4 linked regions of the Mus musculus genome follow. The protein of the gene in region 1 interacts with the protein of each later gene in a biochemical or structural test. Links are inferred from orthologs where the notes say so. Each region holds a gene or a part of one and is shown in the gene's direction. Other genes may lie near its edges. The genes, in order: Ube2b, Rnf40, Rnf20 and Ubr1.

Region 1 (7,667 bases):
TATTTTGACATTAATTTTACAAATGTCTGTGTCCTCATTTAGTCAAAGTGAAGGTATTTATTTATATAATTTTTTAAAAAAAAATCAAAATATGGAACCTACTGGATAATTTTTAAGCATTTTTTTTTCAGGTAGAGGCAGGCCAATCTCTGTGAGTTCAAGTCCAGCCTGGTCTACATGGTGATTTTCAGCTCAGCCAGGGCTATAATAGTGAGAACCTGTCTATAGAATCAAAAACTCCTTAATTTTGTGGCAAACACAGGAGATAGGTGGCATTTTTGATGGCTATAAATAATGTTCCTTGAATGTGTTGTTATTTACTATTTTTGTGATGCTGGGAACCCAGGACTTTGTCCATGAGTATAATTAATTGCTCTACCACCAAGCTGCACCTCCAGTCGTGAGTGCCATAGTTTAACCAGACTTTTGGACCATAAGGGAGTTTGCTCTTTTTTCCTCATAGATTATGCCGTTGTGAAAGTCCTACAAGTAAATCTCTATATTCATGATAATCTGAGAATCATCTCTAGAAGTGGGTCTTTTTCAGGATCTCTATTTGAGGCTTAAGAAAGGTGGAGTAATCTTGGTTTGGGTGCTGGGGAGTGAGCCCAGGCCTGCACATGTGAAGCAGGCACGCTACCACTGAGCTACAACCTTGGACCCAAAATGTGGTAACGAATGTATGGCAGGCTTCAGAAAAATTTCCCTCAGCCTTCCAAAAATGCCACGGGTAGTGAGGCGGACGTTCCTTTCAGGACAAGCTTCCCTGTGAAACAGAGTTTAGTGTGTGCTGAAGAGCTCTCACTGTGGCACGAGAGTTGCTTGTAACTAACTGTGTTGTTTTGCAGTGTATGCTGATGGTAGCATATGTTTAGATATCCTGCAGAATCGATGGAGTCCCACATATGATGTCTCTTCCATCTTAACTTCCATTCAGGTAAGATTAAATGCATCACAACTTGATATTCTTTGGGATATAACCAGTTATTTAGAACCACCTGCCAGCACCAAGTAATTAATGCATGACTTCGACAACACCCTGACTGCTCCACACTTTATATTTTCTTGTTTTGTTTTTGAGGCAGGGTTTCTCTGTGTAGCCCTGGCTATCCTGGAACTCACTTTGTAGACCAGGCTGGCCTTGAACTCAGAAATCCGCCTGCCTCTGCCTCCCAAGTGCTGGGATCAAAGGCGTGCACCACCACACCCAGCTTGCTCCACACTTTAATTAGTTGACATATGAGATCTAATCCACAGCTTGCCTTTTTGGAGGGCAGAGGTCTCTTTTTGCTCAGGCTGATCCACAGAAGACTGTCTCTTCCCAAATGCTGCAGATCCAGGCATGTTCCACCATGCCTATTCACAACCTGTTTTCTTGTCATATGTCCACATTCTCACAAGTGAGACTTACTTGTGCCCATGTAGTATCTTGGGGAGAAGTAAAGTGATTGCTTAGAAAACCATAGGGACCTCCAGGAACTGCCAGGCAAAGACCCTGTACCTGTGTCGTTCCATTCAAGAAAGAGGTGCAGTAACTGTGGGTTCATGTGTCTAGGGAGGCTGACAGAGCTGTACTGATTTGAGAAGAGCAAAAAAAAAATGTTAATGTTGTCCATCTTTGTGAGTCTTTTTGCCTACTGCTCCACTCATCTCTGGGGAATGTCATACTACATCACTGAACCTTGTTCATATCTGATTCTCACTACTTCTCTGTCTATCCTGCTTTCCCTCTGTCCATCTGTCCAATCCCTGTGTGTCTCTAATCCCCACCCCTGTCATAGTCCACTTCTGATCCCATGTCTCATGTATTTAAGATAGGATCTACATATGAGAGTGAGGTTTTTATTTTATTTTATTTTTTAAACTTAGGAATTATTTTTTTTCCTTTTTAAGGTTTATTTATTTATTATATGTAAGTACACTGTAGCTGTCATCACACACTCCAGGCAGAAGAGGACGTCAGATCTCATTATGGATGGTTGTGAGCCACCATGTGGCTGCTGGGATTTGAACTCAGGACCTTTGGAAGAGCAGTCAGTGCTCTTGACCACTGAGCCATCTCTCCAGCCCCAGAAGAGTGACTGTTAACCCTTAGCTTGCTCATTACCCTGTATTTTCCTTCCCACCTCAGAACTTTACTCTTTTATTCCCTCCCTGCTAAGCGTATGTGAGTAACCACAGGAATAAGGTTTGGGCCTAGCGGCAGGGGACAGTGGTTAGTAGTAGAACACTTATCCAGCATGCCCAACTTCTGAGCACCACAAAAACCTGATGATAGTGGATCTGGGAGCTGGGAAGTGGTGGCGCACACTTTTAATCCTAGTTGTAGGAGAGCAGAGGCAGAGGGAGGCCAGGGCTACACAGAGAAAAATAGAGAGAGATACTACTAGCAGTACAAAATACATGAAATTAAATTTCTAAGGTATTTATAGGTGTTATAGTTCAACCAGATTAAGCTGTTACTTCAATGGTGAGGAAGTTCTTATATGCTAATGAATACTGTTTTTGGCTGATCTCCTTGAAATGGGAAATCTCAAGGCAACTGAGAACTATTTTGGAAGCTTATGTTTTTTAGCAACAGAAACCTGCTTCATGTAATTTCTGAAGGTTTTGTGACCCGAAAGATGACATTGGAACTTCCAAGTAATTCTGTTTTGTGTAATTTTCTGTCCTTATCTGAGTCCTGTTACTATAGCACACAGCTGAAGAGCATTTTCTTCTCTCCTTCTCTCTCCCAGTCTCTGCTGGATGAACCGAATCCAAACAGTCCAGCCAACAGCCAAGCAGCACAGCTTTATCAGGAAAACAAACGGGAGTATGAGAAGAGAGTTTCGGCCATTGTTGAGCAAAGCTGGAATGATTCATAATAGACACCTGGTCTGCTCATCCTTCATCGTTGTTGTGTATAATTTACCTCCCAGTAGAAAGGCTAGCAAGTTTTAAGTGCCACGGGTTTTAAGGATTCTGCAGAGAAAAAAAGAAAAAGTCCTTCAGTTTAGAACCTACAAAAGCTTGTGTATCTTGATTAATGTACTTTTTATTGCATGGTGTGAACTAAGTTATTGCTGCATAAATTTGTAATATATCCTGTTTGTATTTTTTTCCAAGTGTATAATGTTGGTGTGGAGTTTTCATGACAGAATATACACATTTTGTAAATCTGTACTTTTTTCAAATATTGAATGCCTTATTTTTGAATTCTTTAGATTTTTAAATTGGAGAAAAGCACTTAAAGTTTTTTATATATGAATATTACGTGTAAAGCTGTTAAAATACATAACTTCAGTGCAAGAGACTTTGTCACTTATTTCCTCACCTGTGCAAGAGGGACTGCGAAGTCTCTGCCAGGTGAGAGCCTCATTTCCAACTGCAGAAGGTCACTCTTCTGTTTATCAAGAAAGTCTGCAAATTCGATTCTAAAACCAATTCTGATCTCCGGCTTTATTTTGAATGTACTTCTGTAAGTTCAGTTGAGTAACTATAGACTTACTGGTCTGGTTCTGTCCAGCTCTGTATTTGGGCCACTTGTTAATGTGCGTTTCTCATGTAAACTGTACCTTTTGTGACTTCACAATTGGCACCTCCACCACGAGCAGAGCTGACTTCCTCTGCTGTGTGGCAGCACCTTCACAGGCTTTTGATTAAAAAGAAAGTAAAACCATCACCATTTACCAAACACCGTGCCGCAGTATTAGCAATGGCCGGTTGCGCTGGTTTGAGCAAGGCAGAGATTTGGAAGGAATCTTGGTGTAACTTGAATATTTGCAAACTACCTTTTAATGCAGCTGCGCGCTACCTGTTTATTCTGGAACTGTTGAGCACCAGGGCCTGCCGAGTTGCTTCTCACCTCCTCAGTTGTATCCAAGTTGTACTGCATCTTAGTTTACTGGATAGATTTAAAACACAGTATTGTAGAAAGCTAATACAAAGCTATCCTATGCCTTCAAATAGTATAGAAAATGGAAAATATACAAGTAAATTCTGTTGAACCACTTGTGCAGTCTCTCTAGTAGTTGAAACAGCAATTGCAGTGAGCCTGAGTTTCTTGTCATCCACACCAGCCTCCTAGAGATGTGCTCTGGTAGCCTCTCTGCTGGAACGTTGGGTTGCAGAGTGACCATGTCTTCTGTTTACAAGCAAAGTTGAAAACTGGGATGGATAAGAACTGATACTTCCCTTTAGAAGTCGTTACTCCAGAGGGCTGAAAAGATGGTTCAGTGGTTACTGCATGTACTGTTTCTGCAAGAACCCAGTCTCTGTTCCCAGCTCTCACTTCAGACAGTTCCCAGCTGCCTGTAACTTCAGCTCCTGGGGTTCCAAAGCTTCTGACTAAATCAGACACTGACAGTCACACAAACAGACGCTTACATAATTAAAATAAAAATACTAATTTATTAAGCTTAGCATGGTGGCACATAACCTATTTACATCCTTGGGAGGCTGGGGAGGGCCATGGTTTTGAGCCTGCTATTATATGGTGAGTTCCAGGCCACTTGGGTGAGACATGTGTGATGCTTCTGCCATGTATTTAGCTCCATTACTCTTTCCTTCGGTGACTTGGACAGTAAATAAGCAATTACTTGTGAGAGGGGCTCAACTATTTCACTAAACACTATCCTGGGTATGTCCGCACCATATTTATTCTTAGCTGTTTTCTTCATCCATTTGAAAACATTTCAAGTACTTACTTGGTAAACAGTTAAAGGGAGTGGTGTCAGGTGGTGAGCCAGCTGTTCAGTTTTTCTACCTATCTAGCCCATCTTGACTTTTGGAGAAAGTCCTTAGAAATGATCTATTAGTCACTCATTTTTTTGTCTTCAACAGAGTACCAGATCTGCATCTTTAACTCATACACTTTATCATGCACAAATGTTCGTTTTGGTCTAGCTACGTTTGTACAGCAAGAAGCTAGAGCTAAGCAGGGCACTGAGGCAGAGCTAGGTGTGCACAGGACTTAGATGTACATGCTGGAGATGCACTTCCTCCGCACAGGGCCTGGCAGGGAGCAGCCCACGGGGTACTGTTCCATTACAGATCAGGGAACTAGGGACAGAGAGCTGGTTGGTCCCAGGTCAACCAGCTAGGAAATGAGCTGGCTTTCGGAGCAGCATGAACTCTGAAGCACAAGGAATATTAAGGGGAGTTGTACTCTATTTGGTAGAGTTACACAGACTATCCAGTGGGCAAGTTTTCTTTGTAGTCATTTCCCACCTTCATACACATAGCCCATGTCAGAAAGTCTGGGGATAGAAACTTCCTGCTCTCTGATAGAAAGGACTGGTTTCTCAACAAACCATTTCCCTTTCCACCCAGGAAATGCCCCTGAATCTCTACCTCCCCAAGCCAAGCCCTCTTAACAGTAAAATAGGTCCATTAAGTCACTTTCAGGCTGGCTGTGACATGGCTTAACAGGTAAAGGTGCTTGCCACCAAGCCTGATGGCCAGTCAGATCCCTGCAACCCCATGGAAGGAGAGAGCTGACTTCCATAAGTTGTCCTGTCACCTCCAACCTCGACATGAGGCATGTACTCCCATCCCATACACATAACCTCAAAGCCAGTGTAACATGACGTCTCTGAGATCTCATCTAAACCTCATGTGTATGAAAAGCAATGAGGAGAACTAAGGGCTGCTGTGATTCCTGTCCTGTGCTCAGAAAACAAAGGCCCTGCCTGTACAGTGTGGTGTTTGCTAGTGGGAGGAGGATTGAACCAAGGGCCTTAGGAGTGTGAGAGATGCACATACTGAGAGCTCTTCTCCCAGTCACAGAAGGAACACTGGGGGCTGGAGAGATGGCTCGGTGTTAAGATCACATACTGTTCTTGACAGGACTTGAGTTCAGTTCCCAGCACCTGTGCCAGGTGCTCACCACTACCTGTAACTCCAGCTCCAGGGGACCTGACACTTCTGACCTGTGGGCACTAGTCCTCAGGGACACAGTCACACACACAAAAATGTCATAAGGACACAGGTATAATATGGGTGTGGTGTGGTCCATGCTTGCATCTCAGCATTTGGGAAGCCAAAACAGGAGGATTCCATGAGTTTGAGGCTGGTCATGCTCCATAGAATGAGACCCTGCCTCCAGAAAGAAACATTGGGGCTCAAATGGTAAGATTCAGAGCTTTGTCTGTTTTGAGTTGCTGGGAATGAAAATGGCTCCAGGCATGTTAGGTAAGTGTTGTCAGCGAGTTGTATTACCAAGCCTAGGAGTAGGCAGCGTGGATCACAGTTCTTTTCTATTGCGTCCAGCCATGGGATGTGGCATGTGCGTTAACTATGCAAGGAGAGATCCAGTAGTTGAAGCTCTTGAGGTGCAAAATTGTCAGGAGAGAGACTTTAACAGAGCTGTGGCTCCCATTAGTTCCCAGCTAGTGTGTGAGACAGTCGTCCAGTAGAGATCATTTGTCATCTAAGTATCTGACGCAACAAAGATACCAGAAGTCCTTTGAAAGCATGGGCCTTTCTTTCCTCTAGCCTTTGAGGAAAGAACAGAAGTTGAACACATGTACCATTTTTAGTAAATTTGTCCTATCACTGCTACAGCTTTTAAAAATAATCTTAGTAAAGTTTTGAGGTTTTAATGTTTCTGTTTTTGCTTTTTTTCTACTCAGTAGGATGGCTAGGGAATTAACTTTAGTTGGGTCAGAGAGTTGAATGACTTGTTTACCAGCCGTCCACACCCAGCTCAGCGTTAGCTCCAGCCATCCTCTGGTAAGTATGGAAGATTCAGACTCGGATGGGGAACTTGCCCGTGGAAGGATCTAACTGCTGTTGATTGAGGCACTAATGCTCTCTGGCTGCCGCGTGGCACTCATCTGAGTGTCTTGCTGAGAGCAGATAACCACGCTTCCTAGGGAGTGGATTTATATAGTGACAATTTTAAAAACAATGACACCTCTAGGCTGTATGTGTGTGGCTCAGTGGCAGAGCACCTGACTTTAGCAAGTATAAGGACCAGGATTTGAACCCAGCAAACACACACACACACACACACACACACAGAGTAAAATGCCGCTTAACTGTTTTGGAGACCTTAACTGATTTTGAAGACTCAGAAGGAAATGAATCCCTAAGATGTGTTTGGATTGGGAACTTGGAGATGATCAGAGTCTGACTGAATTCTTTAGTCTTCATTCTTAGACTCTGAGGATTTTACCATGTCTTGCAAGCTGTTGGAATGAAGGCCTTGCACTTCTGCTGTCCTCTTAGGAGCAGAGACTTAGCTGTGCTTGCTTCCTTTCTGAAGCTCAGAGGAGAAAGTTGCCCCCTTACAAATACGATCTTTTGCCAAGAATACCACTGCTCACCACATGAATTGGCCTAGTGACTCTTCTTAAGGGTGTTAGATAAAGAGCCTGCAGCTCCGGCTGGCCTGTATACATCCATTGTAGAAAATGTAATTGGGGGGCTGGAGAGATGGCTCAGTGGTTAAGAACACTGACTGCTCTCCGGAAGGTCCTGAGTTCAAATCCCAGCAACCACATGGTGGCTCACAACCATCCGTAATGAGATCTGACGCCCTCTTCTGGAGGTCTGAAGACAGCTACAGTGTACTTAGATATAATAATAACAATAATAATTAATAAATCTTTAAAAAAAGAAAATGGAATTGGAAATTTTATAACAGGGTTGGTTCAAAGAAAACAAGGAACCGGAAACCCTAT
Region 2 (7,444 bases), on another chromosome or scaffold:
TCTGCTAAAGCTGGAGTTGTAGAGAGGGTAAGCTGGCGTGTCAGTGCTGGGAACCAAACTTGGGTCTCTGCAAGAGAGAGTGTCTCTCCAGCCCAGCCAAAAGGATTTGTTAACTGTCCCACCATTGAGGAAGCTCAGACTCGGGAAAGGTCAGCTGATTTGTCCCAGAAAGAGAAAAGCTGGGCTTTGAATACATGCCTTGTTCCCAAGTCCTCTGCTGGAGCCATTCACCTAGGCTTGCACAGTGGCTCAGCTGGGCAAAGACAATTGCCTCTAAACCTGATGACCCAAGTTCTGTCCCTGGGATCTACTTGGCAGAAAGAGAAAGCTCTCACAGTTGCCCTCTGACTTCCACAGGTGTGCCATGGTTTATATACCTCCCCCCACCACCACCAAAACACACACTGAATGAAGTCATTTTAAAAATAAAAAAAGAACTTAATCATTGGGTAGTTTTTTGGATTTTTTTTTTTTTTTTTTTTTTTTTACTGTGGGTTCTGGGATTCAGGTCCACGCGCTTGAAAGGTAAGCACTCCATCAGCTAAGCTAATCTCTTCAGCCTGTAATTGTTTTCTTGCTCACCCCCCCCCCTTTTTATTCTCAGTGAGTGTATCACGATAGATTTGAACTTGTGTGTGTCTGTGTGTATAAACAAGGTCTCTCTATTTCACTCTGACCATCCTGGAACTCACTGGGTAGACCAAGCTGGCTTCTGTCTTTGTACCACAAGCTTCAACTTTCCTGATGCACTCAGAAGCCAGAAGAGGGTATCCGATACCCTCAAACTGCAGTTATGATGGCTGTGAGCTGTCATATGGGTGCTAGGAGCTGAAACTAATCCTCTGCCAGACCTGCAAGTGTGTGTAACCACTGCCCACTGAATGATCTCTCTACCCAACTTGAGCTCTTGATCCTCTTGCCTCAGGCTCCCAGGTGCTGAGAGCCCTGATATTTAATTCAAGCATAACAAAAATGGACTGGAGATGAAGCTCAGTCAGTAGGCTGCCTGCAGAGCCTGCATCAAGCTCTGGGTCAGTCTCTAGCATAAACTGGGCACGGATCTGTATGTAAACTGGCCTGGGAACTTAGTACCTGCAAGGTCAACAGGGAGTTCAAGGTCACCCTCAGCTGTATAGCAAGTCTGAGGCCAGCTGGGCTGGGATATTTAGAGACCTTGTCTTAAAAGGAGATGCAGAGAGGATTAAGATGGAGGATTGACAGGCTGGAGAAATGGCTCAATGGCTGATAGCACTGGCTGCTCTTCCAGAGGACCTGGGTTCAATTCCCAACACCCGCATGGCAGCTCACAACTGTAGTTGCTCCAGTTCCAGGGGTCTCAACACCCTTACATAAACATGAATGTAGACAAAACACCTATACACATAAAAAATAAAAGTTATTAAATGATTTTAAAAAGGACATGGAGGATTAACATTGGTCTTATACCTATTGGAATATTCTCTTATGGTGAGTTTATTCATGGAAGCAGTGTTTTATGTCCTATTACATGCTGCTGACCGACACTGGGTGACTCCTGCCTTCTCACCAGTAATCCACAAAGAAAAGAATGCACTTGTCCATCGTTTATCTCTTTTCTGCCTCCCCCACCCCCTTTTGGTTTGTTTTTTGAGATAGTCTCTCTATGTCGTCCTCCTGGCTGTTATGGAGTTTGCTGCGTAGACAAGTTTTCACTGTATTCCAAGCTGACCTCAAGCTCTCAACTATCCTCCTGCCTCAGCCTCCCAACTGCTAGAATATCAAATACACACCACTGTACCTGCTTCAAACACTTTGATGAAGGAAACTAAGGCTGTCTGAGAACATAATGGCACTCCTTAGGGATGTGACTTTAAGGCTGAGTCCACGGGACAGTATACATGTTAGAGGAGTTGATGGCAACAGAGAGACTAGCCTACTGGAGGCTCAAAGACCAGAGCGAGCACCATCATGCAGTAAGGAGCTGTGTCAGGAATGAGGATGCGTAGGAAGGGGTGAGGTTGAGGGCCACAAGGCAGGGTCAGCTCCACTGCAGGCAGGCAGGCAGGATGTTCAACAGAAGCATCAATGGACTGTGGTTCCCAGGCTTGGGCCCAAGGTCCTCTCCTTCCCGTTCCCGCCCACCTCAGGCTGTAGAAGCAGCCCAGTTGGCTGAGGACCTGAAGGTGCAGTTGGAGCATGTGCAGACTCGACTTCGAGAGATCCAGCCCTGCCTGGCAGAGAGCCGGGCTGCCCGGGAGAAGGAGAGCTTCAACCTCAAGAGGGCTCAGGTGCGTCCTCGGGTGGGGAGGGCTGGTTGGCCGGTATGGGAGACATGCAGGTCCTTAGCCTGGCTTCTGCTGTCCTAGGAGGACATTTCCCGGCTTCGGCGAAAACTAGAGAAACAGCGGAAAGTGGAGGTTTATGCAGATGCTGACGAGATCCTGCAGGAGGAGATCAAGGAGTACAAGGTGGGACGAGGCTGGTGACAGTGGGGTGTAGTCTCCGGAGCTCGAAAATAAAGTAGGGCAGCAGGCGTGCGTTGTATGTAAGCCACGTGGCAGAGGAGAGATTACACCTGGACCCTGGCAGTCAATTTAAAGTAATTCTGCCATCTCAGTGATGAGTCAGGGCCATGGCAAGAACCCAGTGGAGTCTCCAGAGTGGCCCTGGGGATGGGATGGAGGGTTGTGTGGCAACAGGCTTCCTGGAAGGAATTGTCACCAAAGGCAGACCCAAAGCTCCAAGAATGGAGGTGAGAGCTTATGTAAAGGGAAAGGCCGCAGGTGGGGAGTGAAGGCTGAACAGCAGCAGACCCTGGAGGCTAGAGGTAGGCTTGGTAGCCTGTGGGCAAGCAGAGTAGAGAAGCCTTTTTATTTGGGAGGGGGAGGAGCATACGATGCTTGGGAGTAAACCTGGGTAGGACTTTACATGAGCTGCACACACACACCTTACCACCAAGCTGCATCCTCAGCCCCATCAAGGGTTTTTATTCAAGAGAGTGGCCAGATATGGGGCCAAGAGCGGCTGCAGAAGGGGGGGGGGGTTGTTAGAGCATTGCAGTCGCTGAGGCAGAAACTATACATAGCTAAGCCCTACACACCTGAGACGAGATGAGCTAAAGCAATACTAAGGTGGAGCTGCGGGGCTCAGGGATGGGTCACAGAAGGATAGAATAGGCAGGACACCAGGGAGGTCCGGGGTTGAGATATAGGAACTAGGTAGACAAACACTCTTCAGTGGATTAGGAACATGCAGTGGATGGTTTCAAGGTGATGAGAACTCGGTGCCTCTGGGACCTCTTGGGAGGCTGGGAAAGCACTGAAGCCAAGGGTCAACTGCAACAACCAAAAGCCACACTGGACTCTGGCTGCCATTGAGGGCTCTTGCCATGAGAAGGAACAGGGGACATTCTTCTTCCTTAGAAGTCTCAGCTTTTAAGTGACAGGCATTAAGTGAAGCCTGGTGAGTGGGGAAAGCCTTGATGGGAGGGGTAGGGAAGGAAGGAAGGGAGCCAAGCCAGGGAACCTGGGTAGAACAAGGGTGGTCAGAGCTCCCGGTCTCTGGAGCACTGTGGTGGAGAAGGTGGCAGAGTCATTGATTAGCTATCCCCCCATTGGCCTTCTCGGGGAAGACACGAGCCTTGAAAGGCTTTCCAGTGTGCATGGCCCTGTCCTGAGAGATGGAGAAACAGTAATTTGGGGAGTTGAGCTGGCTGGCTGAGACTCCAAATAGGCCAAGCAGTGCTCACCCAAGGTGGTGACTGGAGCCGACACTGAGAGCCTCCTGGTGGCAGTTGGGGACAGTCCACAGCAGGGCCTTGGCACCAGGGGTGGGTCAGACTGACTGTGCAGATAGCATGCTTCTCACAGTTCTGCCCTGTTGAGCAGTGACTGAGCAGGTACTCGAGAAATGACAAGTGACCACTTGGGGATTTTGCCCAAAAAAGCTATTAAGGCAAGAGATGCAGGAGTTAGGGCCTATCCCTGTCCTTAGGAGAACCTAGACACTTTCGAGTTTTGTTTGTTTGTTTGTTTTTGTATTTGTATTTTTGGTTAGTTTTGTCTTTTTGAGGAAGGTCTTAACTATGTGACCCTGGCTGATTATGGTCACAGTCTCCTGGGGACTATAGGTGTAAGCAACTCTAATTTTGAAAACTTGGCTCTGAGCCTGTATCCTCGTTCATGCAGTGCTGGTTCCCACCTTCAGAAGTTATGTTCAGAATTAGAGGCCTCAACCATTTGGTGGCCTTAGCCTGGAGTCTGGGGACAGTCAGACTTGCTCCAGACTTACTGTGTCCGTTTGGTCTAGGCCCGGTTGACCTGCCCCTGCTGTAACACCCGCAAGAAGGATGCCGTGCTTACCAAGTGCTTCCACGTTTTCTGCTTTGAATGTGTGCGGGGCCGCTATGAGGCCCGCCAGAGGAAATGTCCCAAGTGCAACGCAGCCTTTGGTGCCCACGACTTCCACCGTGTGTACATCAGCTGAACCTGAAACTCAGGGGACTTTGAACACCCGAGGGGCTGTGCCCCAGCTCCCCACTCCCCCAGGGGCAATGGCCCCAACCTCCCTTTCAGACTCCATGAGCCCAGCCCCTATGTGCCTAGATGGTTTGGGGCTACTGGTGCGTGCAGGAGAGGTGGGGTCACCCAAGCTGAGTGCCATCTTTTCCTGAATGTCAGATCTGCAGCCTCGGGGACTCCCAGGTACACAGCATCCTACTGTAACCTTGGAAGCTGACCAAAACCTGTTTCTACTGAGAAGACAGATACATCCTTACCCCTAGAAGGGAATTCCTCCACCAGGAAAGGGCTCACCACCCATCTGCACAAGCTCAGTGCTGACCAGGGACCTGGGCTTCACATTGGGTCCTGGCCCGAGGAGCCTTGCTTCACTTACTTAGCCCCAGGCCTGGGCAGGGATTTGGCCTTCCAGTGGAGTTTCCTGTACCCTGGTGTAGCTTTTGTGTTGAAGACACTCTTGGGTGTGCACCCTATTCAGGTCAGGGACACTGCCACCTCATGGTCTGATTCAGGGGCATTTTTTTTTTTAGCCAGACTCTTTCCAATCTCCTCCTTTCCTCCCAAGTCCACTTTACCCTTTCTCACGCATCCTGGTGGTCCCTTGGGTACCTGGCCCTAGCCCTGCTTTCTTTCATCCTGGTGATCTTAATTGTGGAGGTGCAACTTGCCAGGAGGGAAGAAACAATCTAGCACTTGCAGGCATTCCAGGTAGAAGAGCTTTGCCCGTGCTCCAGCTAGCCTACACTGATCCTGCCTAAGCAGGGTCCTGAACGCCGGAGACAGGGTCTGCTGGAGCTGGGAGACGGCGCTGCAGATAGATGGCTACAGGAGCTTTTGGACTCACAGCCTCTGCTCTAGAGGTGTTGTGTATGGGCTGCTAATTGTTATGAATAAAATACCCAACCCTAGGCTGCAGAGAAGCCCGTCCATTTGGTCTAACCTGAGTCTCTGCGCTACACCTCACAAGCACTTCCCTGGCATGGTTGGAAGCTGGACACATTTGAGAAACCAGCCCAGCCCACCCTACAACCACTTGGGTTAGCAGCAATATATCTACAGACATGTTTACAAAGGGCCCCACCCCGCCGCCTCCACAATGGAAAAGTTGTTGATTATGGGTTGGCATTGGCCGAATGGATAACAGCCTTTGTGGGTTGCATACTGGGATATGTAGTCCTTTACCTCTAAGGGCCAAGTTTACCTGTTGTGACCACATTTCAGTCTTATTTGTAGGCTTTTTATCCACCCGTACTCTGCGAACACAGACCATGAACAACTCAGCAGGGTGGGTTTTCATTGTAGCTTGGGCCATTAGCTGGACCCTTGGAAACAGTTTGCTCAAACATGGAGGGCTGTCTCTGGGTTCAGAGTGGTGTTGGTGGCTCTCCCGGTGGCGCTTTTACGGATTAGCTACGTGGCCTGCGCTAAGCGAAGGTGAGGTGGGTGTGGGAACAGCAGTCATAGCCATGGTTGTGGCCTCGGGCTTAGCCACAGTAGTACCTTCTCTAGGCTCTTCAGCCTTCTCCGCAGACTTGCCTTCGTGAGGACTCCGGGCCCCTTCTGCTATCTGACTGCGCCTAGTTTCTGTGACGCCGCAGTGGCTGAACCAAGTGGGACTGGAGACTGAGATGCGAGCTACGGTGACCTCCGGTGTGGAGCTGGCAGTGACTGGGACGCTCGCAGAAGCACGAGTAGCTGCAGGGGAAGCACGAGTAGCCATAGGAGATGACATTGGGCCACCATGAAAGCCACCCCGGCTAGAATGCTGGGGGTGGGGGGAGTGGGGGAAAGCAGGATATTGCATCATAGAGACTAGACAGAGCTAGAACTGAGCTAGTAGTCTTAGGAGGCCTGTGCACTGGGGCATCAGTCAGTTCTCTGTCCAACATAATCCTCCTAAGTAATGGACCCCATTCCTTTAGAGGTGAGTCCTCAAATGGATGGGTTGGGAGTACTCAGAGCTCCATGTGGGCAGTAAGGCCTAACAGTAACACAAAGCAGACCTTTTCCCTCATGTTAAGCTCAAGCTGAATGGGCTAAAAGTCCCAGGATCCTCGTGCCTGGAGTGTGCAGTCTTTGCAGAGCCATGAAAACAAGCCATTGGTCTGTCACTGGTGCAAATTTGTGTGCTTTCTTCTCTCAAGTCAGAGATCGATCGATTGATCGATTGCAGAACCCTCCCCTGGCCACCACCGAGCAGGATGTGTTCCTGTTTGAGCTGGAGCTAGGGCAACTGCCTCTGAGCGCACTGATGGGGACTTCTCTCAGAACTTACCCCAGGCCCTAGCTGCTACATTCCTCGGCTTGAATCGTGCTGTCTTCTGATCTCTTCCTTCAACTGTAACCACGCTCCCCTTTGCACTTTGCCTTTCTCTGAGGTCCATCCAGAGACAACGGAACAGTAAAGCTATACCTACAGTTCCCTCCCAAGCTCCAGGCCTGAAAACCACTGTTTAAGGAGGGCAAGAGATGGTGCCACTCTCTCTCAGCACTCCTTAGACTCTGGCCTGTGTTCTGTGACTGCACCTCCATCGGTCCCTTATTCGATAACGAAGTGGTCCTCAGCCTTCCAAAATGTTACAACCCTTTAATATAGTTCCTCGTGCTATGGTGACCCTAACCATAAAATTATTTTGTTGTTATTTCATAACTTATTTTGTTAATGTTATGTGTTTTCTTAGGGTATTAGGCAGTCCCTATTAAGTTTGTCTGGCCTGCTCTAAGCCAACCCCAACTATTTGATAATCTATCCCCACCCCACTCCTGACTTCTATATAGAGGATCCCTTATTTTTTATTTTTTTGAGACACGGTTTCTCTGTGTAGCCCTGGCTGTTCTGGAACTCACTCTGTAGTTCAGGCTACCCTCAAACTCAGATATCCACCTGCCTCTGCCTCCCAAGTGCTGGGATTAAAGGTGTGCACTGCCACTGCCTGGCGGGGATC
Region 3 (8,240 bases), on another chromosome or scaffold:
TTGTCCTAGGGAGTGCAGTAGAGTTGCTTACTGGGCAACACTGGGGCTCACTTGGATTTCTGAGCATGTACTGTAAGTGAATCTAGTCAACATGGGATTTAGTTTTTCTTATTACAGTTAGCTGTGTGAGTCTAAGCTTGGAAGTAGGTGGAGAGTTGGATATTACAGGGATTGAAGGTTTTCCAGGATAAACATGATAAAGAAGCAAGAAAAGAGGAGCAGGTATATAAACGGTGATTGTGACAACTCATCATAGAAGGTGTGTTTGGAAAAGCAGGAGGTGAGGAAGCAAGAGGCCTGAGGCACAGAGGAAGGCATAAATCAATAGGTTAGATTCTGAGAGGCCAAAGAATTGTTGGAGGCAGGAAACAGAAAGGTACTAAGAAAAGTGCTGCTGCTTATGGCAGGTGAGCTTCTAGAAGGCCTGCAGGTACAGATAGAGCTGAGACAGGAGCTGTGGAAACTGATGACAGGGATTAAAAAAAAACAGATCTTTGACAGAGAAGGGGCTCACATATGGAATGATCACCTAAGTGGGAATTAAAACTTTTAGGCAATATAATGGGAAGTGGAACTGTAGCAAGTGATGGTAAGCTAGGTTCTAGATCTGGGAGATGGGACGTGAGCAATGTATGGGTAAGGCCAGCAACAGTGGCAGGTGATACGATCTAAATGTCCTAATCTGATAAGTAGTTTTGAGCAAGGGAATGGCAATGGAAAACAAAGATAGCATCTGCCTTTAGGCTGGGGCTTCTAGGAGTGTAGGAGGAAAACTGCAGGGAAATGGTTTTCTCATAGGTTTTAGCTATAGAATTCAAAGGCAGCTTTCCGTCTTAGAAGAGCCTGGGTGAATGGTTTAATGTTTGTTGATGTTCTAGTTGGTGTGAGTCTAGGAGAGCAAGGCTGAAAAATGAGGCAGACGAAAGTCTCATGCAGTAGCCAACTTTATTCAGAGCAGCAGGCAGTTTGTACTCTGAGGATTAAGAAGAATCAACATGAGTAATGTGTGCAGTCACAAGGACAAGCTACACGTGGCAAATACATGTTTCTCCTTAGAGGCACATGAAGAACAGCTGAAGTAACTACTCCTATCTACTACATCGGCGAGGAACATGAAAACACATTCCAAGAACAGTTCTCAGTTTGAAACCCTGTCTTGTTTTATTGGAATTTTCTCATGAGCACTCAGAATTCTCACATGACTCCATACTGAGACTGTGTTCTGACCATTTACTAATAGTACAAGTAAGGCAGAGCGGAGCTCCTAGTCACTTCCCTGACATAGCAAGTGTTTTAATTAAAAATGGAAGAGGAGAAATAAAAGTCTCTAAGCAGTTCTTGCTTTAACGCTCATTTTCACCAATTTCTGCATAAAACAAGATTTTTAGTTGACTTTTTGCAAAGCAGCCTGCTCATCCATCTGAGTTTACTCTGCTCCCCTTTGATAAACTTTAATTTTTGTATAAGAAAAACAACAACAAAACAAACAAAATTTCTACCTGCTATTGTGATATTTTCCTCTCACTGCTACTCTCGCACTCCACCTCCAGGCTTCTCCAGGGGCAGAAACTAGAAAGAGTCTCAAAGGCCTGGGGAATTGGTGATGGTTGAGAGTATTTTGTTTGCTTTGCTTTATGTTTGAGACAGGATCTTTCTTTAATCCAGCAACATGGATGCTCTGGCAGATAGACCTCCTAGGTCTATCTGATCTGGCCGGAATGTTGACACACCCTGGATTACAGTATGCACGTTCTATTGTGCCAACATGAGATACTTGGAGAGACATGTTTTATATCAGGCAATGGGAACCTGGACTGGAGCAGAGCTCTGGATGATTCCTTTAGTATATAGTTTATAATAAAATTTATCCCTGAAGCCTAGTCATTTGCCATTAGAGTCCAAAATACTGACAAACTGGATGCTGTGTGTGTGTGTGTGTGTGTGTGTGTGTGTGTTTTAAATGGTTCATCTAAACCTAGGTTTAAGTCACCCAATAACTAGCAGTATGGTGGAGCCTCAGGATTCAGATACTTGGTGAAGAATCCTATTAGAGCAGTGAGGTGGTCAGCTTGAGAGTGCTATACTTGCTGTTACCATACATGATCATACACCTGTTCCTTTATTTCTTCTGTTCCCACTTCTTACTTAATCATTTGCTGTAAGAGTTCTTAATGTATGTATGCAAGGCCAAGTAGTGTTTCTCAGTTGCCATCCACTTTGTCTTTTGAGACAGGGAGCCCACTAATATTAGGCTAGGCTGGCTAGCCAGCCAGCTATCCTCAGGGATCCACCTGTCTTTATCTTTCCTGTGCTGAGGTGACAGCATTTGCTACCATACAAGGCTTTCTTAGAAGCAGGTTCTATTGATCAAACTTAGATGCTCATGCTTGTGTGACAAGCCCTGAGCACCTGAGCACCTGAGCTGTGTCCTTAGTCTCGGTTAAGATTGTTTTTTTTATTTTCTTTATAGAAAAATAACTAATGAACTAATGTGAACTTAGTGAATTTAATAGCTCGTCTGTTTTTTTGTGGAGACTAATGATTCTGTTTCCTGAGGTAGGAGGAATTAGACATTCGAACACTGCAATCCAAGAATCGTAAGCTAGCAGAAATGCTAGATCAGCGGCAGGCCATTGAAGATGAGCTTCGGGAACACATTGAAAAGCTGGAGCGACGCCAGGCCACTGATGATGCCTCACTGTTGATTGTGAACCGGTACTGGAGCCAGGTAGCTACTTTGTCTCTTCACCCCTATTCAGATCAGCCTTCTCATCCTTAGAGCGCTCTTAGTTTCTCAACTTTTGCCCTTCATGGTTGTTTACTGCATGTTTCCTTCTGTAGTTTGATGAAAACATCCGCATCATCCTTAAACGTTATGATCTGGACCAGGGTTTGGGGGACCTACTCACAGAAAGGAAAGCCTTGGTTGTGCCAGAACCAGAACCTGACTCTGATAGCAATCAGGAACGCAAAGATGACCGTGAGAGAGGCAAGTGTTTGCAAGGAAGTCTGTCACTGCCTTAGTTACCTGGGTTTTAAGGTTGAGCTTTGCTCTGAGGCTCTCCAGTTGAGCGGGACAGTGGATTTTGCTATTTCTAGCTTTAAAAGAAGATTAAGGGCTCCTTTTTCTCTCCCTGTGTTGTTGGGAGGTATTCTGTAACTGTATTAGTTACTAGATTTTTGAAGTTGAACTTTGCTTTGAGGCTTTCCATTTGAGGGAAAATTTGCTATTTCCAGATTTATAATTTGGGGGGGCTTTTTTTCTCCCCATGTTCTCAGGGGATGGGCAAGAGCCAGCTTTCTCTTTCCTTGCTACTTTGGCTAGCAGTTCCAGTGAAGAGATGGAATCTCAGCTTCAGGAGCGTGTAGAGTCCTCCCGCCGTGCTGTGTCCCAGATTGTGACTGTCTATGATAAATTGCAAGAAAAAGTGGATCTCTTATCCCGGAAACTGAACAGTGGAGGTGAGGAGAAGACCAGGAGACAGGGATCAATGGGAGGCAAGAACTCAGCTCTAGGAGGCTTGGGGTGCTGCTCAGTAGTAAGGGAGAATGTGGCTAGGTGTGTGGCTTCTATTCCAGCACCAAAACGAGTAAGAGAGGAAAACTCAGTTTAACGAAGCTCCCTGGAGTTTTAACCCTTGTGACTCTCAGTGTAATTCCCATGACATGCTAACGATATACTTTCATAAGTAGAAGTAAACTTCTGACTTCAGATGGTGAGTTTTAATGTGTTCCTTTTCCTTTGGTGTATTTAAAGACAGTTAGATGAGGTAGTAAAGTAATAAGATGACTCCTGTGTTTGAAGAGATAGAATAGGAAACCAGTGGATGAAAAAGCCTTAAAGTAAAATGACCATTTGGAATACTTATTGAGTTTTATTACTGAAATTATGTTTGTACAGTATAGGAAGTATACTAAAATTATTAAAGATCTTTAGTCATTTGTGATAGATCTCTTTCTTAAATGCAGATAAAATGCCTTTATTTCAGGTTTTCAACATTAGCCATGATCTGGTTACAGTATCTTTTAAGAAGTTTTATTGTATATGTATATGTGAGTGTATAATTATATACACATGAGTGTAGGTAACTGAGGAGTTCAGAAGAGGGCATCAGGTCCCCCTGGACCTTGAGTTGTTGGCCACCTGACATGGATTTTTGGTAACTAAACTGGGGTTCCCTGCAAGAGCAGTACATTCTCTTATCCTCTAGCCATCTCCCTAACCCTCTGTTGTAGTATTTTAGCTGCCGTGATTATCATCAAGATATTTAATGTTTTAATCTCCTAAATAAATTAGTTAACTATAATGTGCTTTATTTACTAGGTGAGCAAATAAGAACTGTATTATTCTAGAATTTTATTTTCAAGAAAATTCTTAAAAATTGCTTCTTTTTTAGTACGGTAATTAATATGCTTGTTTATATTTTATTTTTTAATTAGGATACTACAGTTGAGAGTGGATGGGTATGACTACTCCTTCCTATTGCTATAAAACTAGCTGTGTGATACTTCTGTCTCCCATGGCTCTAATTGACTGCCTAGAGGGTATTGTTAAACCACTCTAATGTGGGGAATGTACAATGTGCAGAGGTTATTTTGATGCTACATTTGATATTTTAGGTGAATGTCAAGTACATTATTTGCTATATTTGTAAAGGAATTAGACTGAATAGAAAATAAAACTGAACTAAGAACTGTTTTGGGGTTCTGTGTCTACAAGATTGCTCAGCTTTGAAGGCTCTTGCACAAGCCTGATAACAAGCGTTTAATCTCTGGTTCCCACAAGGTGGCAGGAGACAACCAATTCTTGAGGGTTATCCTTTGACCTCCAAATTCACGTGCCTGTACACACAGGACAGACCCATGCATACACAGAAACAAAAATTATTTTTTGTAAGTGTGTTTTAAGATCAAGTTTAAGTTAAAAAAAAAACACATTTTATTTTAAATTCTAAATAGTTAAGCTGTTTGTGATCCAGAGGAAATCTGTGTTGATAAAAAAAGTAAAGATATATATCTTTATATCTATATGAATTATAATGTATATTATAACTCATAACACATATATGTATATGTGTGCTATGAATTATAATACTGAGTAATAACTTTTTAGAAGTTCATTTTCACCCATGGTTTCATTCTTGTTTAGATTTATGGCTTATTTATTAATTTACTAACACTCACTGGGTTTTAATTGAATTTTAGGGCCTGGCTTCAGAACTTAGGGTATTGAAGAATGAAAATTTAGGCATTAGTTTTTAACTCAGGTTGACTCAGTCGCCGTTTAATTATGTATTTATTTTGCCATAGCTATGGAGAGTCTTAACTAGAGGGTTTTGTATGAGTCCCTGGGAATTGTCTATCTTGAAAGTCTGATAAATGATTCAGGTGGGCAATCCTACATGGAAACTGGGAACCCGTGACTTGACTGATCTGTTGCATGAGTACTGAGAGCAGTAATAACAAGTGGTGTAGGAATGCTTTTTCCTGGCAACTCTAAAGGATAATGTGTGTCTGGAGACTAATTGGTTCCATTTATAGCACATAGATTGAGCTGTAATAATTATGACTAATTTTAAACACCTGAATTCAGCATAAGAAATTCTAAAGATGTAACTTGTAAATTTGTAAATATTATGTACATTTTTGACTTTGAGCTTCAGGAACTTTAGACCGTGTACAACTGTGCTTACCCAAGGCTACCTACTCTCCACCTTGATGCCCTTCCCCCATTGTGTTTGATGCCATTGGATATTCATTCCATTACGAACAGTGGCCAGCCAGGTGTGGAGTCCAAACTGTCAAGTCCAGCCTGTGCAATGATGTAGTGATAATGCAAAGTAAAGCCTTTATGTCTGGCTTTGAGTAAAATGTTCCAGCAGAGCCTATGCTTTGTTTGGGTTGATCCATAGAGGCTGAGAAACTTTTTTTGAGACTGTTTGAACTTAAAGAAGAAACATTGTGTCTCTTGAAGGTCTGCACTTGGTGCTACTTGAGAGCTTGCCACTGCACAAACCTTGATCCTAAGACACTCGAGGCAAACCTGGAGTTCTTCCTCCTGATTTTTGGCTAGCCATGATCAAAGGGACTGAGATTCGTATGGGTCATTTGCTCTCTCTGGTAGCAAAGGAAAGAAAATCAACCTTGATAGTTGGAACCTTTTCCAGACCCAATTAATTTTGTACTTAACATAATATTGTGATAAGTGAGTTCTGTGTTTTTATCTTTGTTCATTGGGATTTTTATATGTGATTATTTGAAGATAGAAATTATGCTTCCTGTCTCTCCACCACAAAAGAGAGATGCTTCATGTTGTTATTAGTTAATAATAGGAGTTTGTGATTACCTTATAAAATAAAATTGTATTGCTTTAATTTGGACACTGCTTAGAAATCTTGTCTGTTCTAAATTCTAAAGTATCTATTTTTGGTGATGGTAATTGTATGTGAATACAATGATATAGCCTTCATTTATTTGTTCAAGGCATTTGTCTTAACAGAGATGAGAATAGGTGATGGTTGCAGGTTGACTCATTTATATAACCAATTACCTATCACCTGACCTGGGTGCTTCCTGTGTCCTGTGAGATAACACACTAGGTTACTTTCTGACATTCTGAGGATAGTGAGGTGAGCCATCAGGTTGATGCTTTGATGCAATAGATGATTGTACAACTTAAGACTATTGATACTAAACTAAAGTGCAGTTCTTCTTTCTCAGATAACCTGATAGTGGAGGAAGCAGTGCAGGAGTTGAACTCCTTCCTTGCACAAGAGAATGTGAGGCTTCAGGAGCTGACAGACCTCCTTCAGGAGAAGCATCACACCATGTCTCAGGAGGTACTTGACCAGAAGGAATAACAGCCATTCTTCGTAGCTCTGGGTGACCACACCAAGTCAGAACTGTGAGAACTTTGAGAGGCCCCTTAATTTTACAAGGCATACTTACATTGAGGAGAGTGTGGGGCAGTAACAACAGTCAACTCTGAGAGAGCAACGTCCATGAAAAGGTTAAAGAAGAAAACAACTGAACCATTCCTCTTTGTGCCTTTGTTTAATAGTAGTTTAGGATCTTCATCATTGTGAAGAAATGCCACAACACAACAAAATTGTAAATCCTAAATGATTCACTGCCCTAAATATAATAGATCGTCAACAGTGGTACTGAGTGAATAGCCAAGTGAGAGTAGAGCAGAGTATGGTGAGGAGGGAGGCTTCTGCAATGGTGAAGCCATAGGACCTTGGGGAATGTGAATGTTCACCCCAGAGTAGCTCCCAGACAGTGCCATGATTACTATCCCATGCTAGATTTCGGCATCTGTCTATGTAACATGCTTATGAGAAAGTGAAAAGCTTTGGATCTTTCCGCACATGCTTCTGATTACTTTGTTAGCTCAGGTGATATGTTATCTGTTGATAATGACCTACTTTGGTTTGGCTACTAGACTTTTGTGCTGATTAGTTATTTAGTTATTGTCACTTAGTCATTTGGTACCCAGTTTTAAGCACTACATGAATATTACTACTAATGGCAAAACAGCTTCCATTTTACTGGTGAGGATACAAATGAAGGGTAGTGTACAGTCGGAGCAGGTGATTAAAAAATGTGATTTGCTGAGTTTGTTTAATCTCAGAGCCATGTTTACCCTGCACTGTTTCCTGAGCTCTGCTGTTAGGTTCTTTGCTTGGATGCTCATGGACTTTTAGCAGCATTTACAAATAGATGGGGGTGTCATATTTTAGGGAATTAGCTCGGTGTTACCAAGATAGAAATGTCTCCTGTTGAGGCCTTTCCCAAATCTCAGCAAGAGTAAGCAAGGGCCTCTCTGTTTTGCTCTCTGGGCTCGTGTGTAGAACCCATGTCTTGCATTGCTATTTCCTTTCATTTTTAAAAACAACATCAGAGTAGGATTTAATTTCCTGGCACCAAGTACAGCGCAGCTTCTTCATGCAACAATTTATTTATTTTTCCATTAGTTTATTTATTCACTTCACATCTGATCTCAGCTCCCCTCTCTCCTCCCAGTTCCTCTTACACAGCCCCTCACCTCTCATTGCTGGTTCTTGATGCCGACTGTCTGCTGGGAGGCTGTCAATTGCAGCGGAGGGCCTGAAGACTTCTTAGCATGTCAGCTGAACTACATTGAGTGTTCTAAGAAACAAAGCAGATCCTGCCTGAGCTTTTTAGTATAGCCTCAGAGTTATACACTATATATATATATATACCACTAAAGTTGTCTG
Region 4 (8,876 bases), on another chromosome or scaffold:
GCCTCTATTATTTAATTATTATTAAATTAGTCCTCCAACAGGAAGGAAGGGTCCAATCACATCTGGTTAGGAAAACAGGAAGATATTAAAAATGCTTTCCTTAAAAGATGGGCAGATCCTTTAAAAATATCCTTTCTCTGGGCTAGAGACATGGCTCAGCAGTTAAGAGCATTCACTACTCTTCCAGAGGACTTGGCTTCAATTCCCAGGACCAGTTTCAGGGAATCCATTCCTCTCTTCTGGGCTTTTGGGTACTGTACACAAGTGGTACAAAGACATACATAGAGGCAAGATACCCATACACACAAAATATAAACAAAATTAAAAATAAAAAATAGACATTTATGTTGTGTCTGGCCAGCAGATCACAGGTCTGGGTTCTAGCCTGGAAAGGCATTTTGGAAACCTGGAAGAGAAGAGGGACTAGGCGGCGCGAGATAAAGACGGAACCAAGACAAGGCTCTGCTCAAGGTTCAATTTTACTATTCCGACACTCCGTTATGAAGGAGGGGGAGGGGCCGATTCCCGCCAAATAACCTAGGAGTAAGGTTGCAGGTGAACACGTGATGGCTTCGGAAGAGCAAAGCGGCAGGTTCGAGCTGTGGGCGTTTCTGTATGAGTCTGGAGACAAAATTTAAAATATCTTAGTGATGGTGCTGGCTAGTTTTGTGTCAACTTGACAAAACCTATAGTCGGCAGAGAAGAGGGAACCTCAATTGAGAAAAATGCCTCTACAAGACTGGGCTGTAAGCACATAGGTCATTTCCTTTTCTTTTTCCTATTTATTTATTTACTCACTTTACATCCAGATCGTTGCTCTTCCCTCTACCTGGTCCCTCCCATAGGGTATTTTCTTAATTAGTGATTGATGGAGCAGGGCCCAGCCCATTGTGGGCGGGGCCACCCCTGGGCTGGTGGTTCTGGTTCTATAGGAAAGCTGGCTGAACAAGTCACAATGAACAAGCCATAGTAAGCAAGCAGCGCCCCTCCATGGCCTGTGCACCAGCTCCTACCTTCAGGTTCCTGTCCTGTTTGAGTTCCTGCGCTGACTTCCTTGGCTAATGAACAGTGATGTGGAAGTGTAAACCAAGCCCTTTCCTCCCGAAGCTGTTTAGGTCATGGTGTTGCATCACAGTGACAGTAAACCTAAGACCGTGACTAGCATTGGTCGTTAAAATTTTCTCATTACCACAAGAATAAGATTTTAATGATTAGCATTCTTCATTAAACATGTTTAATATAAAAATAGCTGCTTTATTTTTTTAACCACTGAGGATTAAGACCAGGATAATGTGCATGCTAGTCACAATCTCTCTACCTTTGAACTATAATCCTAGTCTACAGGTGCATTTATTTTTTTTAAAATACAATCTTTTTGTTTGTTTGTTTTGTTTTTCTTTTTTTTTAAAGATTTATTTATTTACTATATGTAAGTACCCTGTAGCTGTCCTCAGATCTTCCAGAAGAAGGCATCAGATTTTGTTACGGATGGTTGTGAGCCACCATATGGTTGCTGGGATTTGAACTCGGGACCTTCGGAAGAGCAATCGGTGCTCTTAACCACTGAGCCATCTTGCGAGCGCCCTACAGGTGCGTTTATTATTATTGGTTTGTGTGTGTGTGTGTGTGTGTGTGTGTGTGTGTGTGTGTGTGTGTGTGATAAGCCCTTTACAATGAGTCACAAGCTCAGCCTTATGCCTCATGCTCTCCCCTCAAAAAACAGTCACTTGATTTTTCACCCAACAATGTGTCTTCTCAAGATAGAAAGAACAAAACAACAACAGCGTTTCTCAAACTTTATTTTCTCAGGATCACTTTAAACTCCTTAAAATTATTGCCCCTCCCCAAGAATCTTTTGTACAAATGGTTCCTATCAATATTTACTAATAACAATTTAAGATGGAGAAAACTTTTAACTAGCTTAAAAGTTTCTATGCAGGGCTTCATGTAACCCAACATGTTCTGCTTTTTGTTGTTTTGGGACAGGACCTCACCGGCAGCTAGACTGATCTGGAACTATATAGTTCTGCTGCCTCCAACTTGGAAGAACCCTCATATTCTCAAATGCTAGCTGACGTTACAGCTGTAAGTCACCCATGCCGGCTTACAGGCATGTAAACAATATAACATCTTAAACATTTTTCCTTTCTTTTTCTCTTTTTGAGATGGGGTCTCACCACATAGCTCTGGAGTAGACTAGGCTAGCCTTGAATTCAGAGATCCACCTGCCTCTGGTTCTGGAGTGCTTAAAGGTGGGTGCCATTACACCAGGCATAAACAGCATTTAAAATGAAAATTAACTCGGTAAACAAATGTTATCCAAAATGTGAGAATTTCCAAATTTCTTAAGTTCCAATTTAATAGAAGGGTAGGTGTGTTTTAGTTCTGCCTCTATCTATAGTCAGTCATGTGTTGCTTTGGTTGGTGTATGTGAAGAAAATTTGACCTTACAGATCTAAAAAAAAAAAAAAGCCAGGTGGTGGTGGCGCACACCTTTTTAACCCCAGCACTTGGGAGGCAGAGGCAGGCGGATTTCTGAGTTCGAGGCCAGCCTGGTCTACAAAGTGAGTTCCAGGACAGCCAGGACTATACAGAGAAACCCTGTCTCAAAAACAAAAACAAAAAAACAAAACAAAACAAAAACAAAAACAAAACAAAACCCACTTCCATGGCAGGTGAGATGGTAGAAAACCAATCCCCTCAAATTGTCCTTTGATCTCTAAACATGATCCACACACACACACACACACACACACACACACACACACACACACAGAGAGAGAGAGAGAGAGACACAGACACAAGTCGCTAAAGTATATATATAAATTTAAAAAGGGACCAGGTGGCTGACATCTGTCACTTGGAATGCAGAGGTAGGAGGAATGCGTGGTATTGGAGGCTATTATTCGTTTCGTAAAAACTAAACCAAACTAAACAAAAAACAAAAACAAAAACAGAGGACACTAAATTAGCTCTTTATCACCTTTGTCCTCCAACCCTGGTCTTGGCCTTGGGTGTTTTCTCTTGGTTCAGAGCTATTCCTTCGCACTATGCATAGATGCACAAATGCAGGAATTTGTAGTCTGTGGCAACAGTTTCCCCTCGATGTTTCCGTACATCTACCTTGTTCTTTTCATGGGGTATTCCATAACGGGGATGTATTCAGTTTGTCTTCCCTTACCGACGGATGGACTAGGTTTCTCGGTTTTGTCATCTCACCACCCCTGCCCCGGGGTTAAGGGATGGCGACAAAGCTGTGAGGTCTTCCCTCGGGGATCAGCCCTGGTGGAGCAGGGCTAACTAACCATCAGGGGCGGAAACCTCCGGCTTGGCAGGTCGGCAGCCTGCTTCCGGGAAGCCGACCGGAAGCCGCTCCGGGTGCTGCGACAAACCTGACTTCAGGGGCCGTCGTAAAAGTGTCGTCCCTGTCGCGTCGGGCCGGCCACAGGTTTCCGCTAGCTGGCGGCCGGGGGTCGGGAACTGCGGGCGTTCGTTTCCCTTAAGATGGCGGACGAAGAGATGGACGGCGCCGAGAGGATGGACGTCAGCCCGGAGCCTCCCCTGGCCCCGCAGCGGCCGGCATCGGTGAGTCTTCATCTGCTAGCGCCTTTTGTCCTCTCCACCAACAGCTTCCCACCGCGCCTGGGAGGGTTTGGGGCTCCGCTTTCTATGGCGGCACTGGGGAAGGGGAGTCCTAGGATTGAAGGATCGACCCTCCCTCCCCCGATAAAGTTAGTCGTCTCCTACACACATTCCTGCCAGCCAGGTCTACGGAGTTTAATGACTGTCATCTATTAAGTCTCAACGTGCTCAGACACGCATGTCTCTATTTTGAAGTAGAAAGAACTCGTGCACATTTAGGTGGGTTTGATGTAGGAGCTGAGATGAGGTTGGAGAAGGCCATTTTTCGGTAGACGCATTGCTGACCCCTCTTGTTGATAGGCATCGGGACCCGGACCAGCACCTGGTGTGATATAGCATTGTCGGGTGGACTTGATAGTGGCAGTGAGTGTTGCGGCTGGCAAGGCATGGCCAGATATCCATTATTGCAGCGTCTTGAGAACCTTCGATCTGGCCCCCAGTGAGGGAAATTTGTCATTTGTCATGCCTTTTATATATGAGAAGGGACATTTCAAACGAGAGAATACTGGAATCTATACTTGGCTATTAGATTTTTGAAGGGCTGAGAAAGGAGAGGTAGAATAAAATTGAGTCAACAGTCTGGCTGCGTGGAGAATACGAACAGAGTAGGCTGAAAGGTGGGGTAATGTTCACAAATGTTCTGATGTGGTCCCTTCAGATAACTAGAAGGGAGGGAGGTCCTTAGGAAGTACTCACTATTGATCACAACATGTTTTATCAGTTTGTCTATAGCTGCATATGGAAAAGTGTGGGAAACATACCCGCACCCACGCAAACCCATTGTATATACACATACCTGTTAGTGAAGTTGTTTGTAGTTTTAATAAACTCATTCTTGGCTTACTTTACCCCAGCAGACTCTAGAACATTATTTTATGAGACAAGAGAATGACTCAGAAATAAGTCAACCACGGAGACTAGAGAGAATGTCTGTAAGATAAAAAACCATCAGGGACAGAGTTGGAATAAGACTATATGCACTAGATCAGCACTTGGCAGTCTTCCTCCTCCATCCCAAAAAGCAGTTGAAACTCACTTCACCACTGGTAATGTAGCTTAGATGAAAACAGCTAGAAAATGTTTCCAAGTAGATAAACTGGTTTGTTTGTTTGTTTGTTTGTTTGGTTGGTTTTGGTTTTGGTTTTTTTAGTGCTAGGGAGAAAACTCCAGGCCTTATGCATGCTAGGCAAGGGCTCTTCTTCTGAGCTATAGGTTAAGATAGAGAGATCATTTACTTTCAGGAGTTCCAGGCAAACCCCGGACTAGACTGTGAAACTCCATCTAAAAACAAAAATAGAAAAAAAGATTCATAGATAGAATCATGTGCTTTTTTTGTTTGTTTGTAATCTAGTGCGTTATAGTCAGAATAGTTGTAGTTTCCTATTGCCAAAGATGAGTAATGTTTATTTAAATCGTTGCTATGTTAATTCTTTCCCACTAGCACTGTAAAACCCCATTAATAAAACCATAAAACATCCATTACTTTGGAATTGGAAAAATGGTATAGAAATTGAGCAGGAATCTGTAACAAACATGTCTTCAAAGAATAATATATTTCTTTGGGCAAGGCTTTTTAAACTTTACAGAGAAGCAAGGAGTGGTGTCATGTAGCCTCAGGGAATTCAGCCTATAGATAATATAAAAGATGAAGAACTTAGATTCAAGATAGGGTGGTGTAAGTGGATACAGACCGATGACCGTGAAGCCTTTATTTTTTGGCTTGAGCCCTTTTTGCTTGACCCCAGAGTTCATCCTACTTCCTGTAGTTTTTCCATCTGCCCTTTCCCATTTCATTCTCCCTATTTAAAACTCTTGTGGTTAAGCCAAGATTGCTCAGTTTGAGTCTTCAGCACCCCACCACTGTTTGCTTAATTTGTATCTCAAATCTCTGTTGGGTCTTGTGGAAACAAAATAACAAATATAGGACAGCTACAAGATCTAGTAAAGGCTTTGTTCTCATTAGAGTGCTTTTCTAGTTACAGTTGCTGATTTCTTTAAACTAAATTGCCTTTTTTAAAGATACAAGGTTGTTTTAGTAACCTTTCAGCAAGGTCTAAAGTCACTTAACAAGTAAGCAGCATGAAATGATAGGGCTAGCAAGATGGCTCAGAGCTGCTTCCTGCATAAGCTTGGTACCTTGATTTGATCATTAGAACCAATGAAGATGTGGAAGGAGATAACCAACTCTACAAATATGCACTTTGACTTCCACATTCATGCTGTGGCACATGTACATATCTGCCCCCACACAATAATAGTAATAATTAAAAAAAAAATAGAATGATCGGAAAAAGCAAAAATAAAATGAAATAATAATTGAGAGTTATTGGACATTTGTACAAGATATTGCTTAAGATTTACCAAGATAAAAATAAATAATTTGAGTTAAGAAAAAAAAAAAAGATTCACCAAGAGAGTTGATTCTTGGACCGTAAACGTCCAAAAGGTCCAAGAAGCTACATATTCACAAGAATGCCTTAGTAAGCTAGCCACTTGGAAGTTACCAGTTTAGAATCAATGATTGAGGCTATAGGAATGGATATATTTGAGGTCAAGTTGTGTGCATATACACACACAAATACCCAGAAACCACACAGCTGAGAAAACAAGAGTAAGACAATGTCTGGGATGTAGTTTTTAGGAAAGGATAGTTTATTGGATCCGTGAAAAGGACTGAGAAAACTGGAAATCCAGAGTATATTGGATGGCCTGCCGGAACATCTGCTTTTTTTGACTGGATTCCTGCCTAAGAGGAAGGTGTCACATGGCATGGCACTGCGATCTTTTTCTGTACGCTGACACTGCATATGTGATTTCATCCAGTTCTACAGCTTTTCATACTCACATATGTTCAATTCCTAGCTTATAGCTCTGGGTCATCTCACTTGTGAGCTTCAGAATCATAAACTCAGTTGCTTCCTTGTCTCCACTAGCACGGCCGATGGTTGTTTCCAAAAGAGAGAGCAGGTAGGAGGCCGCTAGGATGTGAGAGATTGTTACAGGAAGACAAAGCTGTATCAGTTTGAGGAAGATGTTGGAAATATGATAGAAGCAAAGATGACCTAATTATTAAGTTGAGGGAAAAATGAAAGGAACAAATGACATCTGTACCTCTGGTTTTTGGTCTCCACATTCATGGTAGATTTTAGGAGGGCAGCAGGAAGGCAAATCAAGGTTTTTTTTTTTTTTTTTTTTTTTTATTCTTTTACAGGGCACCTCCTCCACAATAGCTCTTGGATACAAATGTCTCTCTGTCTTTACACTCATCATTGTAATCTAAGCCACCATTTGTTGCCTAGACAACTGTAGCTTCTTCACTGGTCTCTCTCCTTCTACTTTTGTCATCTTCCAGTGTTGGGATGAGAGGAAGCCTTGAGTGAATGTGTGTTGTTGACATGGACAAAAGCTTGTCAGGGAACATAGCCTCAGACCCATGGGAAAATGGCAAAGCCTCCCTCTCCATCCCTGCTCCCAGGGTGATGCTCAGAGGGATGGCAAAGCCTTCTTCTGGTCCGTTTGCATATATTGATAGTGTTTGTAGAAAAAAATGTCCACCATAACTATCATCTCCCCTTCCCCATGATGTTTATGGTCTGAAGAGTGCTTCCTGCAGAGAATGTTGAGATTAGCTAATCCCATCCCCTTGATCCAGACTGTTTGCTGTAAACCCTGTCTCCTTGTTTATCTGTATGTTCCAACTCTGCCTTCTTGTTCAGCTGTATACAAGAGCCCTGCCTGCCTGTGCTGTGTGTGTATGCATACACACACACACACACACACACACACACACACACACACACACACACACACACAAGAGCTTGTGGAGTGCTGAGGTTTCTCCATCTGTGAGTCCAGGCTATCTGATCCCAACTTTTCGTCTCTCTGTGTCTGCTTTTTCTTCATTCCCTTGCTGTCCCTGGTCAGGGCCATTCCCTGGAGCGATACTGGACAAAGCATTCCAGTCATTTCTCTACAGAGCAACCGGTGTAATCTTTAAGACTAAATCAGTTCTGTGTCAGTCTTCAGTACTTGATAGGAAAACTGTCTGGAAAGATAGACGTGTAAGTCAGTACCGCATGATGAACCATGGACAGGTAGGTGCCTTAGCCCGTTCTTTGTGTGCTGCCTTTGAAGGCTATTCCAAATTCCCCTTGCTATTACATTATCCAGTATCTCTAAAGGCATTAATCCTGTGCTGTATTTTATGAAATAATTTCATATAAACTTTAATCCATTGTCTCAGGTAGCTTAAGATAAAGTATTAAGACCTCACTACTCCCTGGTGACTTACATGAACTCCTGTGTGAGTTACTGTGGCATTTGTGAAAGAAGCAGTAGCTGTTTTTATTTTGATTGTTGAATTTGGGCTTTTTCTTTACTTTTTTTTTTTTTGTTTGTTTGTTTGCTTTTTTTGATTTTTGGAGACAGGGTTTCTCTGTATAGCCCTGGCTGTCCTGGAACTCACTTTGTAGACCAGGCTGGCCTCAAACTCAGAAATCTGCCTGCCTCTTCCTCCCAAGTGCTGGGGTTAAAAAGGCGTGCGCCACCACTGCCCAGCTTTTCTTTATTTTTTGAGACAGAATTTTGTTATGTAACTCTTACTGGCCCGTACCTCACAATTCGTCATGCCTAGCATGATGCATTCTTTAAAAAAGTATTATGTCCCTGTAATAACTGGAGGACTTGTAGAAAGAGGCTATATTCTGAACAAACACCACAGAAAGAACCAGAAGAATTATTGTGCTTCTCTAAGTACCCACTTGTGCCCCAGAAGCAGTTCAGGTCCTGGTCAGAGCCAAGTCCACAGTTACTCTCTTAAGTATTCCTTCTAATAGTTTACTTAATGCTGTCCTTCAAGCAAGCTCTACTTGACTCAGTAGAGTGAGACTCAAACCACTTAATATGCATTTATGGGCAAACTTTTAAAAAGCCTTTCAGCCTTTGTTTTTACGAGTAAGTTTAGAAATGGCATTAGCCACAAGAAGGTATGTCTTTTCATTCATTCTTTTTTAATGCACACATGCTTTACTTTCAAATATAAGAAAATATCTTAGTTGTTTGCAAGTGTATGGTCCATACACTGAAAAGAGCCATAGGAAAACATTGCATTTATCCAAAGACTCAAAAAGAAGTATGGTCAGAGATAAAAATGGAAGATAGCTGCTCAAGAGTGACAGGATGCGTATAAAAACCAGATTTTGACAGCATACTTATTATGCTTTAACTAAAGAGTA

The links.
Region 2: the proteins of Ube2b (region 1) and Rnf40 form a complex in vitro, tested with the Homo sapiens proteins (3 studies listed by BioGRID). The link is inferred for Mus musculus from reciprocal best matches to the Homo sapiens genes UBE2B and RNF40.
Region 3: the proteins of Ube2b (region 1) and Rnf20 form a complex in vitro, tested with the Homo sapiens proteins (4 studies listed by BioGRID, with this or other methods). The link is inferred for Mus musculus from reciprocal best matches to the Homo sapiens genes UBE2B and RNF20.
Region 4: the proteins of Ube2b (region 1) and Ubr1 form a complex in vitro, tested with the Homo sapiens proteins (2 studies listed by BioGRID and IntAct, with this or other methods). The link is inferred for Mus musculus from reciprocal best matches to the Homo sapiens genes UBE2B and UBR1.

Annotation. Positions count from the first base shown.
Region 1 is NC_000077.6:51,981,882-51,989,548, reverse strand, and holds the end of Ube2b (ubiquitin-conjugating enzyme E2 B), read left to right. Parts: intron 1-848; coding exon 849-937; intron 938-2,738; coding exon 2,739-2,867; 3' UTR 2,868-4,411; downstream 4,412-7,667. UniProt on the Homo sapiens protein: E2 ubiquitin-conjugating enzyme that accepts ubiquitin from the ubiquitin-activating enzyme E1 and transfers it to a E3 ubiquitin-protein ligase. In vitro catalyzes 'Lys-11'-, as well as 'Lys-48'- and 'Lys-63'-linked polyubiquitination.
Region 2 is NC_000073.6:127,598,180-127,605,623, forward strand, and holds the end of Rnf40 (E3 ubiquitin-protein ligase BRE1B), read left to right. Parts: intron 1-2,126; coding exon 2,127-2,267; intron 2,268-2,345; coding exon 2,346-2,447; intron 2,448-4,287; coding exon 4,288-4,464; 3' UTR 4,465-5,426; downstream 5,427-7,444.
Region 3 is NC_000070.6:49,635,346-49,643,585, forward strand, and holds part of Rnf20 (E3 ubiquitin-protein ligase BRE1A), read left to right. Parts: intron 1-2,560; coding exon 2,561-2,728; intron 2,729-2,841; coding exon 2,842-2,989; intron 2,990-3,279; coding exon 3,280-3,462; intron 3,463-3,579; exon of another isoform or gene 3,580-6,629; intron 6,630-6,706; exon of another isoform or gene 6,707-6,720; coding exon 6,721-6,839; intron 6,840-8,240. UniProt on the Homo sapiens protein: Component of the RNF20/40 E3 ubiquitin-protein ligase complex that mediates monoubiquitination of 'Lys-120' of histone H2B (H2BK120ub1).
Region 4 is NC_000068.7:120,965,231-120,974,106, reverse strand, and holds the start of Ubr1 (E3 ubiquitin-protein ligase UBR1), read left to right. Parts: upstream 1-3,391; 5' UTR 3,392-3,504; coding exon 3,505-3,585; intron 3,586-8,876. UniProt on the Homo sapiens protein: E3 ubiquitin-protein ligase which is a component of the N-end rule pathway. Recognizes and binds proteins bearing specific N-terminal residues that are destabilizing according to the N-end rule, leading to their ubiquitination and subsequent degradation.